2 linked regions of the Pelodiscus sinensis genome follow. The protein of the gene in region 2 interacts with the protein of the main gene of each other region in a pairwise test. Links are inferred from orthologs where the notes say so. Each region holds a gene or a part of one and is shown on either strand. Other genes may lie near its edges.

Evidence for each region.
Region 1: the proteins of GOPC (region 2) and VTN interact in binary tests that used the Homo sapiens proteins (3 or more experiments, as listed by UniProt). The two-hybrid records come from large-scale screens. The link is inferred for Pelodiscus sinensis from reciprocal best matches to the Homo sapiens genes GOPC and VTN.

Annotation. Positions count from the first base shown.
Region 1 is NC_134731.1:378,149-385,478, reverse strand, and holds the start of VTN (vitronectin), read right to left. Parts: upstream 3,017-7,330; 5' UTR 2,950-3,016; coding exon 2,889-2,949; intron 2,456-2,888; coding exon 2,309-2,455; intron 707-2,308; coding exon 425-706; intron 1-424. UniProt on the Homo sapiens protein: Vitronectin is a cell adhesion and spreading factor found in serum and tissues. Vitronectin interact with glycosaminoglycans and proteoglycans. Is recognized by certain members of the integrin family and serves as a cell-to-substrate adhesion molecule.
Region 2 is NC_134713.1:84,050,394-84,058,004, reverse strand, and holds the start of GOPC (Golgi-associated PDZ and coiled-coil motif-containing protein), read left to right. Parts: upstream 1-4,599; 5' UTR 4,600-4,926; coding exon 4,927-5,220; intron 5,221-7,611.

The DNA of each region.
Region 1 (7,330 bases), on a different chromosome or scaffold from region 2:
GAGATCGGGGGAGGGGGGGCGGTAGTGCCCACACAACCCCCCCCAGCACCACCGAACCCCCTTCCCTCTGCTTTGGGTCCAGCTGCCTCTCCCTGCCCTGTCTGCAGTGTGAAAGGGGCTAGCGGCAGGGGCTCCACTCCAAACCTGGCCTCATCGTGCCCACGACAGCCACAGCAAAGCACATGACCCAGGCATGGGTCTGCCTGTGTGGGGCACTCAGGCTCCAAGGCCAATCAGTCCTGGCTGTCAAAGGCCCAGCTGGTGTCAGCTGTGATGGCGGGGACCCCTGCGAACTGGGCTGAGACCCACCTGCCTCCCAGAATCTGGCCGAGCAGCGACCTGAGATGGATGCAGCCCTGGGCCATGCTCTGACCCAGCCTCCCCACCCCCCCAGTGCCCATGGGCAGCCCTCGCCAGCTGCTACCTCGGAACGCGTAGAGAGAACCGTTCTTCAGGTCGGTGAATGCATCGAAGGGCTGCCCGCTACACAGCACCTCCTCCACCACCTCCTCCTGCTCCCCCAGCACGCTGGGGACCAGCAGAGGGGCATCGCTGTCAGGCACCGTGACCGAATCCGTGGTGGCCACACTGACTAGCTCTGGGGCTGTGGCTGTGGGCCCAGTCTCTGTGGTTTCGCTCCAGGAAGTGTTGGTGGCGTAGTCCACGTAGTCGTCCTCGGGAAACGCGAACATGTCCCCGCGGGTCACTGTGCAGGGCAAGAGAGGGTCAGGGCCCTGGGGGTGCTGCAGCCTGCCCCTGTGCCGGGCACTGCCTGGCTGGGGACCAGCCCTGCCGGGAGACTGCTCCCATTCAGCGTGGGATGAAGGGTCCTTCGTACGTCCCCCATCCTCTGAATCAGGCTCGGCTCCGGGGCCCTTCTGCCCTTTGGAACTCGCAAGGGCCCCTTAGTGAAGGGAGCTCAGCAAACGGCTGCCGCACGTGCGACGCTGGCCAGACCCTGAAGAACCGGCACTCGCTGACCCCAGGCACGTCCTCACAGCGGGGATCGTGTGGCAGAGATGGGGCGTAGCGGGGAACAGGACGTAGCGGGGAACGTGTGGCAGAGATGGGACATAGTGAGGATCGTCTGCCAGAGACAGGGTGTAGCAGAGATCGTGTGGCAGAGACGTGGCATAGCGGGGATCGTGCGGCAGAGATGGGACATAGCTGGGATCGTGTTGCTGAGATGGGATGCAGCGGAGATCGTGTCTCTCAGCTGGGACATAGCGGGGATTGTGTGGCAGAGACAGGGCGTAGCGGGATCGTGTGGCAGAGACGGAGTAGCGGGGATCGTGTCTCTGAGACAGGGCGTAGCGGGGATCGTGTCTCTGAGACAGGGCGTAGCGGGGATCGTGTGGCAGAGACAGGGCGTAGCGGGGATCGTGTAGCGGGGATCGTGTAGCGGGGATCGTGTGGCTGAGACGGGACGTAGCAGGGATCGTGTGGCTGAGACGGGACTTAGCGGGGATCGTGTCTCTGAGACAGGGCGTAGCGGGGGTCATGTAGCGGGGCTCGTGTCTCTGAGACAGGGCGTAGGGGGGATCGTGTAGCGGGGATCATGTTGCCGTGTTGCTTTGTGTGGTTCCTGCTGTTCTGGGCAGGGCAGCACTGTCTGGAGGAGGGGGTGACTCACTGTAGAAGTGTATTACACCTCTAAAACCAGAGGGTTAGGCAGGGGAGATAACAATTTCTGCCCAGGAAGGGAGACAAAGGGTAGGCTGGGCTGACACCAGGCTGGGGACGAGGGCCTGGGGGAAGGGGCAGTCTTGGTGGGGCTAGGATCTGAGACGGGGCTTAGGGCAGGAAAGGGGGAGCAAGGGCCCGGGACCCCTTTCCCCCAAGAGGAATAAGGCCGCCTGCTCTGGGTCTCTGTGTTAACATCGATCCTGTGTTTCGCTGTGTCCCTGGGACCCAATAACCCTTCTGTTCTGCTTGCCGGCTGAGTGTCACGTCTGGCTGCGGATGGGGATGCAGGGCCTGGTGACTCCCCCAAACCCTGTACCCAGTCCGGCACCTTTCTGCTACCAGCCAGGCAACAGGGCTTGACTTGTGTCCAATTTTCCCTCTAATGTTTTCTCCCCATGTGCGGAATACATTTTATGTGCACCAAGGCACCTGACGATGTGCACCAACAGTAGAAACAGCTGCTGCCAGCTGTGTGCACTGTGGATGTGCTGCAAATCAGCTGGGCAGCACCTGTATCTCTCCGGGGCTGCCGCCCTAGTGCCAGCTCACAGGGAACCTTGCTTGTGCCTGTTCCCTGGTGCGGGGTGGGGGCTAGGCCTGGGGGTCTGCAGGGGACAGGTACCTTTTGGCTTGCAGGCGCTGACATAGTCACTGCAGCAGCTCTGGTAGTAGGTGCAGAGGGCGTCGCACTGGCACTTCCTCTGGGCATCGAAGCCGTCCTCGCAGTGGCCGACGCATGACTCTGAAAGGGCAGTGAGCACAGCGACCCCTCCACACCAGAAATGAGCCAAGGCGCCAGCAGCCCCGACTGCTAGTGCTGGCTGCATGCTGGTGCAAAGAGGCCAGGGCCGTTTTCAGCCCTCGCCCAGGCGCCCAGCCCCTCGGCCTCCCCGCTCGTCAGTGTGCTTCTCTGAAGATGAGGGGGGCTGACTGCTAGCACCCCCTCCCCCAGGGCCTGTGATGGGTGACCAATGCAGGTCTGTGGGGGCAGCAGCCGGCTGCTACTGGAGAGATTCTGCCGAGCCACCGCAGCCAGAACCCCAGCAGGGAACTCACCTGCTGCTTTCTCCCGGGCCCCTTGCCCCCCAAAGCCCAGCAGATCTAGCCACTGTCTCCCTACGCTAGCTGCAAGTGGGAGTTAGGGACACCCTGAACTGAAGCATCCAGCAGGGCGTCCAGCAGCGGGATGAGCAGAGACTCACCTTCAGCTGCCAAAGCCCCACGGAGCAAACCCAGCAGCAGTGCTGGGACCAGCAGCCTCATGGTGCACGGCGGGGAGAGCTGACCTGGTCTGGCTGCTTGGGCAGGCTGAGGCTCTGCAGCCTCCCGTCCCAGGAACTCACTGTTTGCTCAGCCTGCCCCAGTGCAGGGAGAAAACAAACAGAAGGTCAGAGATCAACAGAGCAAGAGGTGACTGACCCCCCAGCTTCCCCCTCCCCCACTGGAGGCCTTCTGGGACCCTGCTCTGGGGGCCTGTCTATAGCTGGTGTAACCCACATCGTCTGGGTGTGCTGTCTCTTGCCGTGGCACCTAGCCCACGTACAGAGCGAGAGACTGAGTCTGCTTTGCAGCCTCCCCTGAGCCTCAGCTGGCTTGTAGCTCAAGTGGGAAGTTGCTGGAGGCCCAGGTTTGGCTCTGCCGGTGTGTGCTAGGCATGGACTAACACAAGCTCTGTGCACAAAGCTGCTGGCAGCTTCAATCGTGCCAGCTCGAACCAGGCTTGAAACCTGCTGCTTGGCATGGCCCTTGGAGCCTTCTTCCAAACAGCTGCCGCCCCACAAAAAGGAGCTGCTAGCGAGCCTCTGCCTTGGCTCCCAGCTGGGCGGGAGGCGAGAGTTGTTCCAGACTTTGAAGGCCCCAAAGGAGCACCAGCCCACCCGTCTGACCTGTGCGCCACAGGCCGCCAGCCCCACCCAGCACCATGCACCACCCAACCGCCCAACCCGACGGAACTATCCCAGCCCAGGGACGGTCAAACGTTCGCCTCAGTTCCCACCGGTGTTACCGACGTGTGTGTGGCCACTATGAGACCCAGCTCCGGGGGAAGGCTTTGTGAGACTCGCCGCTTCCCTTTCGGAGCCAGGAACTGTCTAGCGCGCTGGGCAGGTTTCAAACTGGGACCCAAGTGACCCCCCAGGTCAGACGGCAAATGGCTGGAACTACGCGTTGGTGATGTCTGAGCCTCTCTCATGATTTGGGAGCACCTGACCCGAGCCCATTTTACTTTTGGGGGGGGCACCCCCTCCGGCAGCACCCTAGAGTGGTGAGGGGGCTGAAGCCAGAGGGCCAGTGAGTGTGAACCCCCTTCCCCCCCGCTCACTTTCTCTGCACTCGGCGTTCACTGGCTACACAGGGCTCTGTGTATTCTGCTCCCAGAATTCCTTTCATCAGGTCCTGTCATTACTAATTAACACAAAAATGGCTCTTCCTCCTGGCGGCTGATAACTCCCAGCCAGGGGGCAAGGAGCAAAGCACATGGGCTCCAGGGTCCACCTGGACTCAGTCTGTACACACTGCCCAGGCCCGGCCTGAGCGGGGACAGCGTCCCATTGCAAAGCTAGGCCCAGCTGGGCTCAGTCTGTACACATTGCCCAGGCACGGCCAGAGTGGGGCCTGCGTCCCATTGCAAAGCTAGGCCCAGCTGGGCTCAGTCTGTACACACTGCCCAGGCCCGGCCTGAGTGGGGCCCACGTCCCATTGCAAAGCTAGGCCCAGCTGGGCTCAGTCTGTACACACTGCCCAGGCACGGCCAGAGTGGGGCCTGCGTCCCATTGCAAAGCTAGGCCCAGCTGGGCTCAGTCTGTACACACTGCCCAGGCCCGGCCTGAGTGGGGCCTGTGTCCCATTGCAAAGCTAGGCCCAGCTGGGCTCAGTCTGTACACACTGCCCAGGCCCGGCCTGAGCGGGGGCAGCGTCCCATTGCAAAGCTAGGCCCAGCTGGGCTCAGTCTGTACACACTGCCCAGGCCCGGCCTGAGCGGGGACAGCGTCCCATTGCAAAGCTGGGCTCAGTCTGTACACACTGCCCAGGCCCGGCCTGAGTGGGGCCTGTGTCCCACTGCAAAGCTAGGCCCAGCTGGGCTCAGTCTGTACACACTGCCCAGGCCCGGCCTGAGCGGGGGCAGCATCCCATTGCAAAGCTAGGCCCAGCTGGGCTCAGTCTGTACACACTGCCCAGGCCCGGCCTGAGCGGGGACAGCGTCCCATTGCAAAGCTAGGCCCAGCTGGGCTCAGTCTGTACACACTGCCCAGGCACGGCCTGAGTGGGGGGGGCCTGTGTCCCATTGCAAAGCTAGGCCCAGCTGGACTCAGTCTGTACACACTGCCCAGGCCCGGCCTGAGCGGGGGCAGCGTCCCATTGCAAAGCTAGGCCCAGCTGGGCTCAGTCTGTACACACTGCCCAGGCACGGCCAGAGTGGGGCCTGCGTCCCATTGCAAAGCTAGGCCCAGCTGGGCTCAGTCTGTACACACTGCCCAGGCCCGGCCTGAGTGGGGCCTGTGTCCCATTGCAAAGCTAGGCCCAGCTGGGCTCAGTCTGTACACACTGCCCAGGCCCGGCCTGAGTGGGGCCCACGTCCCATTGCAAAGCTAGGCCCAGCTGGGCTCACTCTGTACACACTGCCCAGGCCCAGCCTGAGCAGGGGCAGCGTCCCATTGCAAAGCTAGGCCCAGCTGGGCTCAGTCTGTACACACTGCCCAGGCACGGCCTGAGCGGGGACAGCGTCCCATTGCAAAGCTAGGACCAGCTGGGCTCAGTCTGTACACACTGCCCAGGCCCGGCCTGAGTGGGGCCTGTGTCCCATTGCAAAGCTAGGCCCAGCTGGGCTCAGTCTGTACACACTGCCCAGGCCCGGCCTGAGTGGGGCCCACGTCCCATTGCAAAGCTAGGCCCAGCTGGGCTCAGTCTGTACACACTGCCCAGGCCCAGCCTGAGCAGGGGCAGCGTCCCATTGCAAAGCTAGGCCCAGCTGGGCTCAGTCTGTACACACTGCCCAGGCACGGCCTGAGCGGGGACAGCGTCCCATTGCAAAGCTAGGCCCAGCTGGGCTCAGTCTGTACACACTGCCCAGGCCCGGCCTGAGTGGGGCCTGTGTCCCATTGCAAAGCTAGGCCCAGCTGGGCTCAGTCTGTACACACTGCCCAGGCCCGGCCTGAGTGGGGCCTGCGTCCCATTGCAAAGCTAGGCCCAGCTGGGCTCAGTCTGTACACACTGCCCAGGCCCGGCCTGAGCGGGGGCAGCGTCCCATTGCAAAGCTAGGCCCAGCTGGGCTCAGTCTGTACACACTGCCCAGGCACGGCCAGAGTGGGGCCTGTGTCCCATTGCAAAGCTAGGCCCAGCTGGGCTCAGTCTGTACACACTGCCCAGGCACGGCCAGAGTGGGGCCTGTGTCCCATTGCAAAGCTAGGCCCAGCTGGGCTCAGTCTGTACACACTGCCCAGGCCCGGCCAGAGTGGGGCCTGTGTCCCATTGCAAAGCTAGGCCCAGCTGGGCTCAGTCTGTACACACTGCCCAGGCACGGCCTGAGCGGGGGCAGCGTCCCATTGCAAAGCTAGGCCCAGCCGGGCTCAGTCTGTACACACTGCCCAGGCACGGCCAGAGTGGGGCCTGTGTCCCATTGCAAAGCTAGGCCCAGCTGGGCTCAGTCTGTACACACTGCCCAGGCCCGGCCTGAGTGGGGGCAGCATCCCATTGCAAAGCTAGGCCCAGCTGGGCTCAGTCTGTACACACTGCCCAGGCACGGCCTGAGTGGGGCCTGTGTCCCATTGCAAAGCTAGGCCCAGCTGGGCTCAGTCTGTACACACTGCCCAGGCCCGGCCTGAGCGGGGACAGCGTCCCATTGCAAAGCTAGGCCCAGCTGGGCTCAGTCTGTACACACTGCCCAGGCACGGCCAGAGTGGGGCCTGCGTCCCATTGCAAAGCTAGGCCCAGCTGGGCTCAGTCTGTACACACTGCCCAGGCCCGGCCTGAGTGGGGCCTGTGTCCCATTGCAAAGCTAGGCCCAGCTGGGCTCAGTCTGTACACATTGCCCAGGCCCGGCCTGAGTGGGGGCAGCATCCCATTGCAAAGCTGGGCTCAGCTGGGCTCAGTCTGTACACACTGCCCAGGCACGGCCTGAGTGGGGCCTGTGTCCCATTGCAAAGCTAGGCCCAGCTGGGCTCAGTCTGTACACACTGCCCAGGCCCGGCCTGAGTGGGGCCTGCGTCCCATTGCAAAGCTAGGCCCAGCTGGGCTCAGTCTGTACACATTGCCCAGGCCCGGCCTGAGTGGGGGCAGCATCCCATTGCAAAGCTGGGCTCAGCTGGGCTCAGTCTGTACACACTGCCCAGGCACGGCCAGAGTGGGGCCTGTGTCCCATTGCAAAGCGAGGCCCAGCTGGGCTCAGTCTGTACACACTGCCCAGGCCCGGCCTGAGCGGTGGCAGCATCCCATTGCAAAGCTAGTCCCGCTGCTCTGCTCACGTGTGTGTGGGGGAGGAGAGGCTGCGCGGGGCTTGGGGAGAGCTGCCTGTGTGCGCTGCCAGCTGCCCCGGCCGGAGCCCTGTTTGTCAGCCTCAAGCCTCAGCACCCCTCCTGCAGGCTGGGAGCCAGGGACATGTTTACCCGAGAGCGCCAGGCCCTGCGCTAGGGAGGCAGCCAGCAGGTGA
Region 2 (7,611 bases):
GGCAGGGCTGTGAAGACTGGGGGAAAAGCTGTTAACAAATAAAGAAAGAAAGAAACAAACAAAGCAGCTGTGGGACAGTGTCTGCATGGTGGGGTTTTTTTTTCTTTCTCTCAACAACTTTGCCCTGGCTCTTCATGCTGTCTCCACTACTATTGTGGCTCTTCGTCTGGAATGGGTTGGCCATCCCTGCTCTATATCTTAAATCTCAGTTCTGAAAATAGTTGCAATACATACCTTTACTTCTGGCCACCAACAGATGGTAGCACATGAATATCAAAGTCTGGGACTGGATTTTCAGTCCTTCCACAAACAAAATTCTCCCTTTTGAATCAGAACCTAATCATGGAGTATGCACTCTGTAGAATATCTCCCTCCTGAGATCAAGTTTTTGTTTGAATATGGATTGCAGAATTAGGTGTTTGAACTGGCTGGTTCTTGGCAATTGGTAATTACCAGACAGTAATGATATTGTAACAATACTAAGCATTTGCTCTTCTTCAGCACATTTATCCAAGGTTCTCAAGGTACGACAAACATTAATTCCTCCTGTGAGGTAACCAGATTTTACAGATGTGGAAACTGATACACAAAACAGACATAACTGCCAAGTCTTGTGCAATTCAATGTGTGACATTGTATGCAACTTACAGATGTAGTATAGCTCATTAATTAAGTTATACATATAATACACATATGACCATGACTGTGGCTTCTGAAGTCAATGAACTCTTCCCCAAACAGTGGTAGGGACAGAACATGGAGCTGCACAAAATTTGTCAGCTGTGACAGATGAGTGCATGCTGAAGGGTTTCAGGGAAGGTGGGAAGTGCTGTGTGGGGAGAAAGCCAGGTTTGTGTAGAAGATGGAGGTGTCTGGAGACTGTGGCAGATTGGTGATAGTGGGGTCAATATGAGAGGTATATAAGGGAAGCTAGATTTGTCAAGGTTTCAGGTGTGGCTGGATAGTTTAGGGGGGATTGGAGGCTAGGGCCAGCTAGTTTTCTGGAGCTGGGGTTACTTGGTGGAGGAGTGATCTGCAGAAAGCTGGAGAAGGTCAGGAGGAAAAGACAGGGCCAGTTGGAGTTCCCAGGGTGGGAAGACCAGAGGGGACTGACTGGATTCAAATACCAAAGGAAAGAAGGGAGGGCTGGGATCCTTTGTGCCCCCTGCTGCTCTTTTCCTGCATAGGAAGGCCCTGCAGCAAGCTCCGCCACCAACATCCCACAAGCATGAGGCTGAGCTGCAGGCACACAGCAGCCTGACCACTGCAGGGCCAGATGGTGCAGGTCAGAGATGCTGCTCCTGGGAGCACCTCCTGGCCTCTGACCAACACCAACAGCTCTGGGCTGGTGTAGAGTGAGAAGCAGCTGAGCTTCAAAAGTCAATACCTAGGGTGTTGAGCACCTGCACTGGAACTGAGCATGCTCAGTAAGAGCTACTGTCCTCACTCTGCCCTTACATGGATTCAGATGCTGCTCCAGGCTTTTTACAATCATTAAAAGGGGGGTTAGGAGGCAATTGCAGTGGGGGATGGGCAGGGCAGGGCACAGAAATTAACCAGCCTCGGGAGTCAATTAACTTTAGTGTGAGGCAGAACAGGGGCTGGAAGGGAAAAATCGGGTGTGGGGGGGTGATTGGAGCTGGTGGAGGGGGAGATGCTGATAGGCCCTGTGCTGGGATTTTGCCCCCACACAGGGAGGGACAAAGGGGGTAACATTTACCTAAGGGGATGAGCCATCTGCCGCGTGTGCAAAGGCAGGGATGGGGGGGCACGAAGGGAAGCAGAGAGGGGTTTTATTTCCCCTCTCAGGGAGAAATGTACCAGTGCTGGAGCACAGGGCAGCTTCCTGATTGTGCTATTAAAGGTACAGCTGCCCTAATGCCTTGGCTTTCCTGGCTATCCTCCACAGCGCCTCTCTCTCTGCACTGCTACAGCACAGAAGATAGAATGCTGCAAACATTCCACATGCAGCATGTGAGGGAGTAACACATTTTGAGGATTTAAAAGTCTCCCATCAGTTTATACATGAAGTCTTTTAACAGTTCACAAATTTGTCTTATCTCTCGCTGTGATTCCCTGAATTACACACCCATCCTTGTAACCCATTTTAATGGTGGTTTTGCTCCTTTACAAATGTTCTCTCTTACTAGGGGGCTGCATCTCCTGCTCATTATGCTTGTCAACTCCCCCTGTCTGGGGGTAGGTGTCTGGCCAGGGGGGCAGGGTGCAAGAGGAGAGGAGGGTGCAGGAGCAGGCTGGGAATTCAGGGTCTCGTAGAAGAGGTGAGGGGCTCAGAGTGCGGGATGTTGGCTTGAGGGACAATGAGTGAGGGGGCTGGAGGTGCGGGGTCTTGTCTTGGAGGAGGTGGGGGCCACTTACTTGCTTCACACAGCTCCCAACACCATAGCTCAGGCATCATCTACCACTGCTTTTTAAAATCTTGCTAATTTGTTTTGCACTAATCACTCGAGTTAACTGCGAGAACTTTAATTTCCATGCCATTCTATAAGTTGAGAAGTTTCAGAGGGGTAGCCGTGTTAGTCTGTAACAAGACAAACTTAAAAAACAACAAATAGTCTGGTAACACTTTAAAGACTAACAAAACATGTAGATGGTATCATGAGCTTTCATAGGCACAGCCTACTTGAGAGTTTGCCCTCACCTGCAGTGTTGGCTGGGTTCACTTTTAGTCACTCAACCTCCAAAAAGATGTAGCAGACATGGAGAGATCTGCAAGCCACACAAAATCATTAGAGACCCGGAAAGGTTATGTGTGAAGAAAGAATGAACAGACTGGGACTGCATCATGCTGCCAGCAGACAGCCCTCAGGGGCATGCCAGTGTACACATACCAATGAATAAGTGGGCACACATTGGGGGCTTGAATGGTGGAGGGAATATGGCCCCAGAAGCTCCTCCCTGTGGTGCATCTGGCCTGCCTGGCAGGGGGAGGATGCGGCTCTGGGAACAGCAGCGCAGGAAAGCTCTATCCTTATTGTAACAGAGTCCAGGGACTGCCTCCAGGGTCCGACCCGTGCCGTATTCCCCGCTCTGTCCCTTCTATGCTTCTTTTCCCTGTATGGCCTCCCTTCCCCCAATGTCTATGTCCCAGAGTTCCGGTTGTACCCGTCACTCAATGTCTGAGCGGGGCTCTCCTCCTGGGTTCCGGTCTCTCTGCTCTGCTCTGGACAGGGCTGGGCACTCTGGGTTGGGGTCCTCTCGGCTCACCCACATCCCTCCGGTGACCTGCTGGGGAAAACACAACCAGCCTCCACTCCGCTCCTTCTGGCTCTCCCGCTCTCCCTCTCCTCCAGGTCCCAAGCCCCATCAGTTCTGGGCGCGTGGCCGCGCATGCACGGCAGACCCAGCACGACTCGGAGCCCGCTCCTCAGAGTGCCGGAGCGGCGCTGCTCTTAGTGCGGGGGCTCAAGCCCCTGTCACACCTATGTTCACTTGCAGGCTACACCCCAGGCACACCCATTGACCAGGAATTGCGGCCAGTGGGAGCATGGGGGGGCAGTTGCCTGCAAGCGGGGAGCCATGTAGAGCCACCTGCATCCCCCTTCCCTGAGCTGTGCTAGATAGTTGCCCCCACCTACCCAGAACATGCACCTTTATCCCCCTCTCCCACTCCTCACCCCTCCCAGACCCTGCACTCCCACCCCACGCCTATACCCCAGATCTCGCCCCTCTCCTACACTCCCAGACCCTGCAACCTCAGCCCACTACAGCACTCTACATTCTGCCTGCACTCCACACCAACTTATTGTTGGCCCCACCTCAGAACCGAAGGGAGACCCACAAAATCTACAAGCCCCAGGTTCCCAGAATAGTTAATCCAGCCCTGGTGGGAAGCACTGAGCCTTGGCCCCTCCTCCCACTTGTCAAGCATGAGTGAAGTGAAGCAAAATGAGGCTACATCTACACTGCAACGTATCCCACAATAGCTATCCTGCGTCTCCACAGCAAGCCCATTATTTTGGGTTTGCTATTCCGATAACCCTGTAAATCTCATTCTACGAGGAGTAAGGGACAGTTTGGAATAGCACTTGATTTTGAAATTTGGTGCTGATGACAAAATATGCTATTTTGAAATAGCATTGAAATAAGATACTCTATTTGAGTGTCTCCCTGTCTCTCTTTCCCCCTCTGCTTCTGAAGAGAGGAAGGGCAGCTGCCCCAGGGCCCAGTGATTTAAAAGAGCCCTGGGCCCTGCAAATCACTGCTAGTGCCCTGGGTGGCATGGGATGGGCTAGCTGGGGGCACAAACCCACAGTCCTACTCCTTCTGCCAGAGGCTCTGTACCAGTGATGGGTGCACAGGTGGTAAAGGCTGAACCCCCAGCCAACTGTCTGGCTTTGCTGCCCCCGGACCAGTGAGACGTGCATGGGTAGCAGAAACTGAGATGAGCCAAATCTGACCACTAGTGCGCCAATAGCTGCTACGGGAGCAGATCTGGAGACTGGGGAAGGGAGGGGAGGGCGAAGCGCCCCCTGGCGACGGCTCTGCAGCGCGCAGGGAACTGCAACAGCCCAGACCCGTCCCGCCTCCCGGGCCGCTGCAGCAGGCGGCGCCTGCGCAAAGTGTGAGTTGTCACATTTGGCGCTGGGATCGATGGCGTGGCGTTCGGCCAGGCTCCCTGAGGTGCGGTCTCAGTTGTGGCAGGCAGCACAAGTCAATCGACGAGCCCCGTCCGGCGACAGAGCGCCGCTTCGCAACCAGACTCTGTCAGCATTCCAGCGCATGCGCCGTGGGGTCGTGGTGCTCCTCTCACCAGAGCCAAGCGGAGGCTAGTGCCGCCGCATCCTGCGGGCGTTGAGGCGGGCGCGCGCAGGTGTGTGAAAGTGAGAGCGAGAGCCGCGCGGGCGTTGAGGCGGAGGGGCGCGCGCCCAGCGGGTGCCTCGCAAGGCCGCGAGGGGCGTCAACATGTCCGGCGTGGGGGCCGCTTCCTGCGCCTCGGGCTCCGGGGCCTGTGCCGGAGGGGCCGCCGCCGCCGTCTCCTCCCCGGGCGGGGGGGTGTCGATGTTCCGCTGGCTGGAGGTGCTGGAGAAGGAGTTCGATAAGGCCTTCGTGGACGTGGACCTGCTGCTGGGGGAGATCGACCCCGACCAGGCGGACATCACCTACGAGGGGCGGCAGAAAATGACCAGCCTCAGCTCCTGCTTCGCCCAGCTCTGCCACAAGGCGCAGACCGTGTCCCAGATCAACCACAAGCTGGAGGTGAGGGCGGGGGGGGGGACCTGAAAGTGGCCAGACGGGGGAGGAGGTTTGAAGGGGCACGCGGGGGGTGGGGCTGGGTAGCCGAGTGCTGAGTTATTGGGGGAACTGGGAAGCAAAGGGCTTGACCGACGCGGGGTGGGGATTTTCCCCAGTGCCCTGATTGCTGCCTTAGTCTCCCATGGGGCAGGCTGGGATTCAGGGTGTCTGTTCTGTCCACTGTCTTCTCTGCACTTGGCTCTAGCTAGCTGGGGCACCTTTTCCTCTCCTCAGTCATAGCTTGGCTTCCCATGGCAGCTATGGGCCGGACTAATGAATGACCAGTACAAAAACACACAACTTCTTAATTAGAATATTTTTTCACAAATCAAAACATCACCTAATCAGATGATCAAGTTAAAAAATCCATAACCAAGAAAGCACTCTTACCTAGTGAAAGAAGCAGGGAAGAGCATGCTTTAAAAATTCTCTGAACTCAGATATGGTGATGTGCAGTGTAAGAACCTGGTTGGGTTGTTAGGTCACCAACTGTGGTTCTCTCATTGCTCTATGATTCAGAAGTAACTAAAATTGCCATTTATATAGTCACCCCGAGCTATTAAACTAGCTAGAGCTGGTCTGTTGCAGAAATAGCTGACTGTAGGAAGAAAACATTTTGCCCATGATTTTAATCCCACTTCTTCTGGGTAGCAAGACATGGGTCTGCAAAATGTCTTTTGAGTATTAGTAATGCAGTAGCTAAGATTAGAGAATATTTAAAAGTAGAGTACAAGTTCAGTAGATCATCTCTGAGGGGTATCAGTGTTAGCATGGGGTGTTGGTGAAGGCAGGGCTGGGGGAGACAAGCTCCCATCCTCACATCGAGCCCCACCCCTTCTGCTGAGGCCCCATTTGTGCTCCCCCCTCCCAATCAGGGGGAGGGAAGGGCAGGAATGCGCTCACCCCAGCCTTTCCAGCCCCAGGCAGGAGACCGAGTACACGGTATGGCCCTGGCTTCACCAGCTCCGGAGGCGAGCGTGCCATGCAGCCCAGCCCAACCTCACCTCTCCAGCCCTGGAGCACCAGAAGAAGAAGGAGGGCGTAGGGTATGTGGCATGGCTCCAGCCTCGCCAGCCATGGCACACTGGGGAAAGGAGGAGGGCATGGTTGCTCAACTATTCGATAGTCTCTGGGGGCGGGGCTGGCAGCCAGGCACTCCCTGCCATCTTGTGCTGCTGCCTCTGATTGAGAGGCAACAGGGCAGTGTGGCATCAGCCCCTGTCCATGTGGTGCCTGAGCTCGCCGCAGACAGGGGCTGCTGCTTTGGAGCAGCTTCTGTCCACGGTGAGCCCAGACCCGCAGTAAGAGGCAGTGGAGGAGTGGACAGGCTGGTCCACAGAGCCAGCACACTCAGAGAGCTGGCTGCTTCCTGCCTTTCATGCTGCTGCCTCTCTATCAGGTTGAGGGGCAGTTGGATCCAGTGACCGTGGGGAGTCAGCTTAAAGCTGTCTACCTACAGGCACCGGCTCCTCCCTTCCGCCCTTTCCCCCGTTGGTGCCTCTGATACACATACCTCTGGTGCCACGTTCTACATTGACATCCCTAATAGAATCATGAGCTTTTTTGGGCAAAACCCACTTCATTGGATGAACTCTTCAATCAAGAGCTATGTATAGCAACAGACGTACCTGTCAGTTGTTAATGGCAGGAGAAATTGGCTTTGTAATATGCCAACTAGTTATGTCTTTGTTTTGTGTAAGTCCAGAGTAATTGTATCAAATCTGTAGATAAATTCCAGTTTTGCAGACTCTCTTTGTAATTGGTTAGTGATAATCCTTTGTAGAAAAATGGCTACTTTTAAATCCATAATTGAGTGACCAGGCAGGTTAAAATGTTCCCCTACAGGTTTATGTGTGTTACCATTTCTGATGTGTGTCCATTTATTCTCATTTGGCTACTATAGATGGCAATGGGACACTTGATGGCATATATCACTTTAGAAGATGTGCAGTTGTATGAGCCTCTGATGTTGTGGCTTATGTGGTTAGGTCCTATAATGCTGTTGCTTGAATAGATATGGGGATGGAGTTGGCAACGGGGTTTGTTGCAGGGGTAGGTTCCCAGGTGAGTGTATCTGAGGTGTGATGTGTAGATGCCGTAAAGGATTTGCTTCAGGTTGGGGGGGTTGTCTGTAGGTAAGGATTGTCCTCTCTCCCACGGCCTGTTAGTTTATAGTGAACAAAGTTGACTTCCTTATAGTTCATGGAAGTTCTTTCCAGACTGCTGTTTGTTGTATTATGTGTATGCGTGTTGCTGTACATTAGATAAGGCAAGTCTCCTGCTTGATAAATCTAATGCATATAGCCACAATATAGTGGTGCCATAGACTAAATCAGCATGGATAGCATGTTCTGG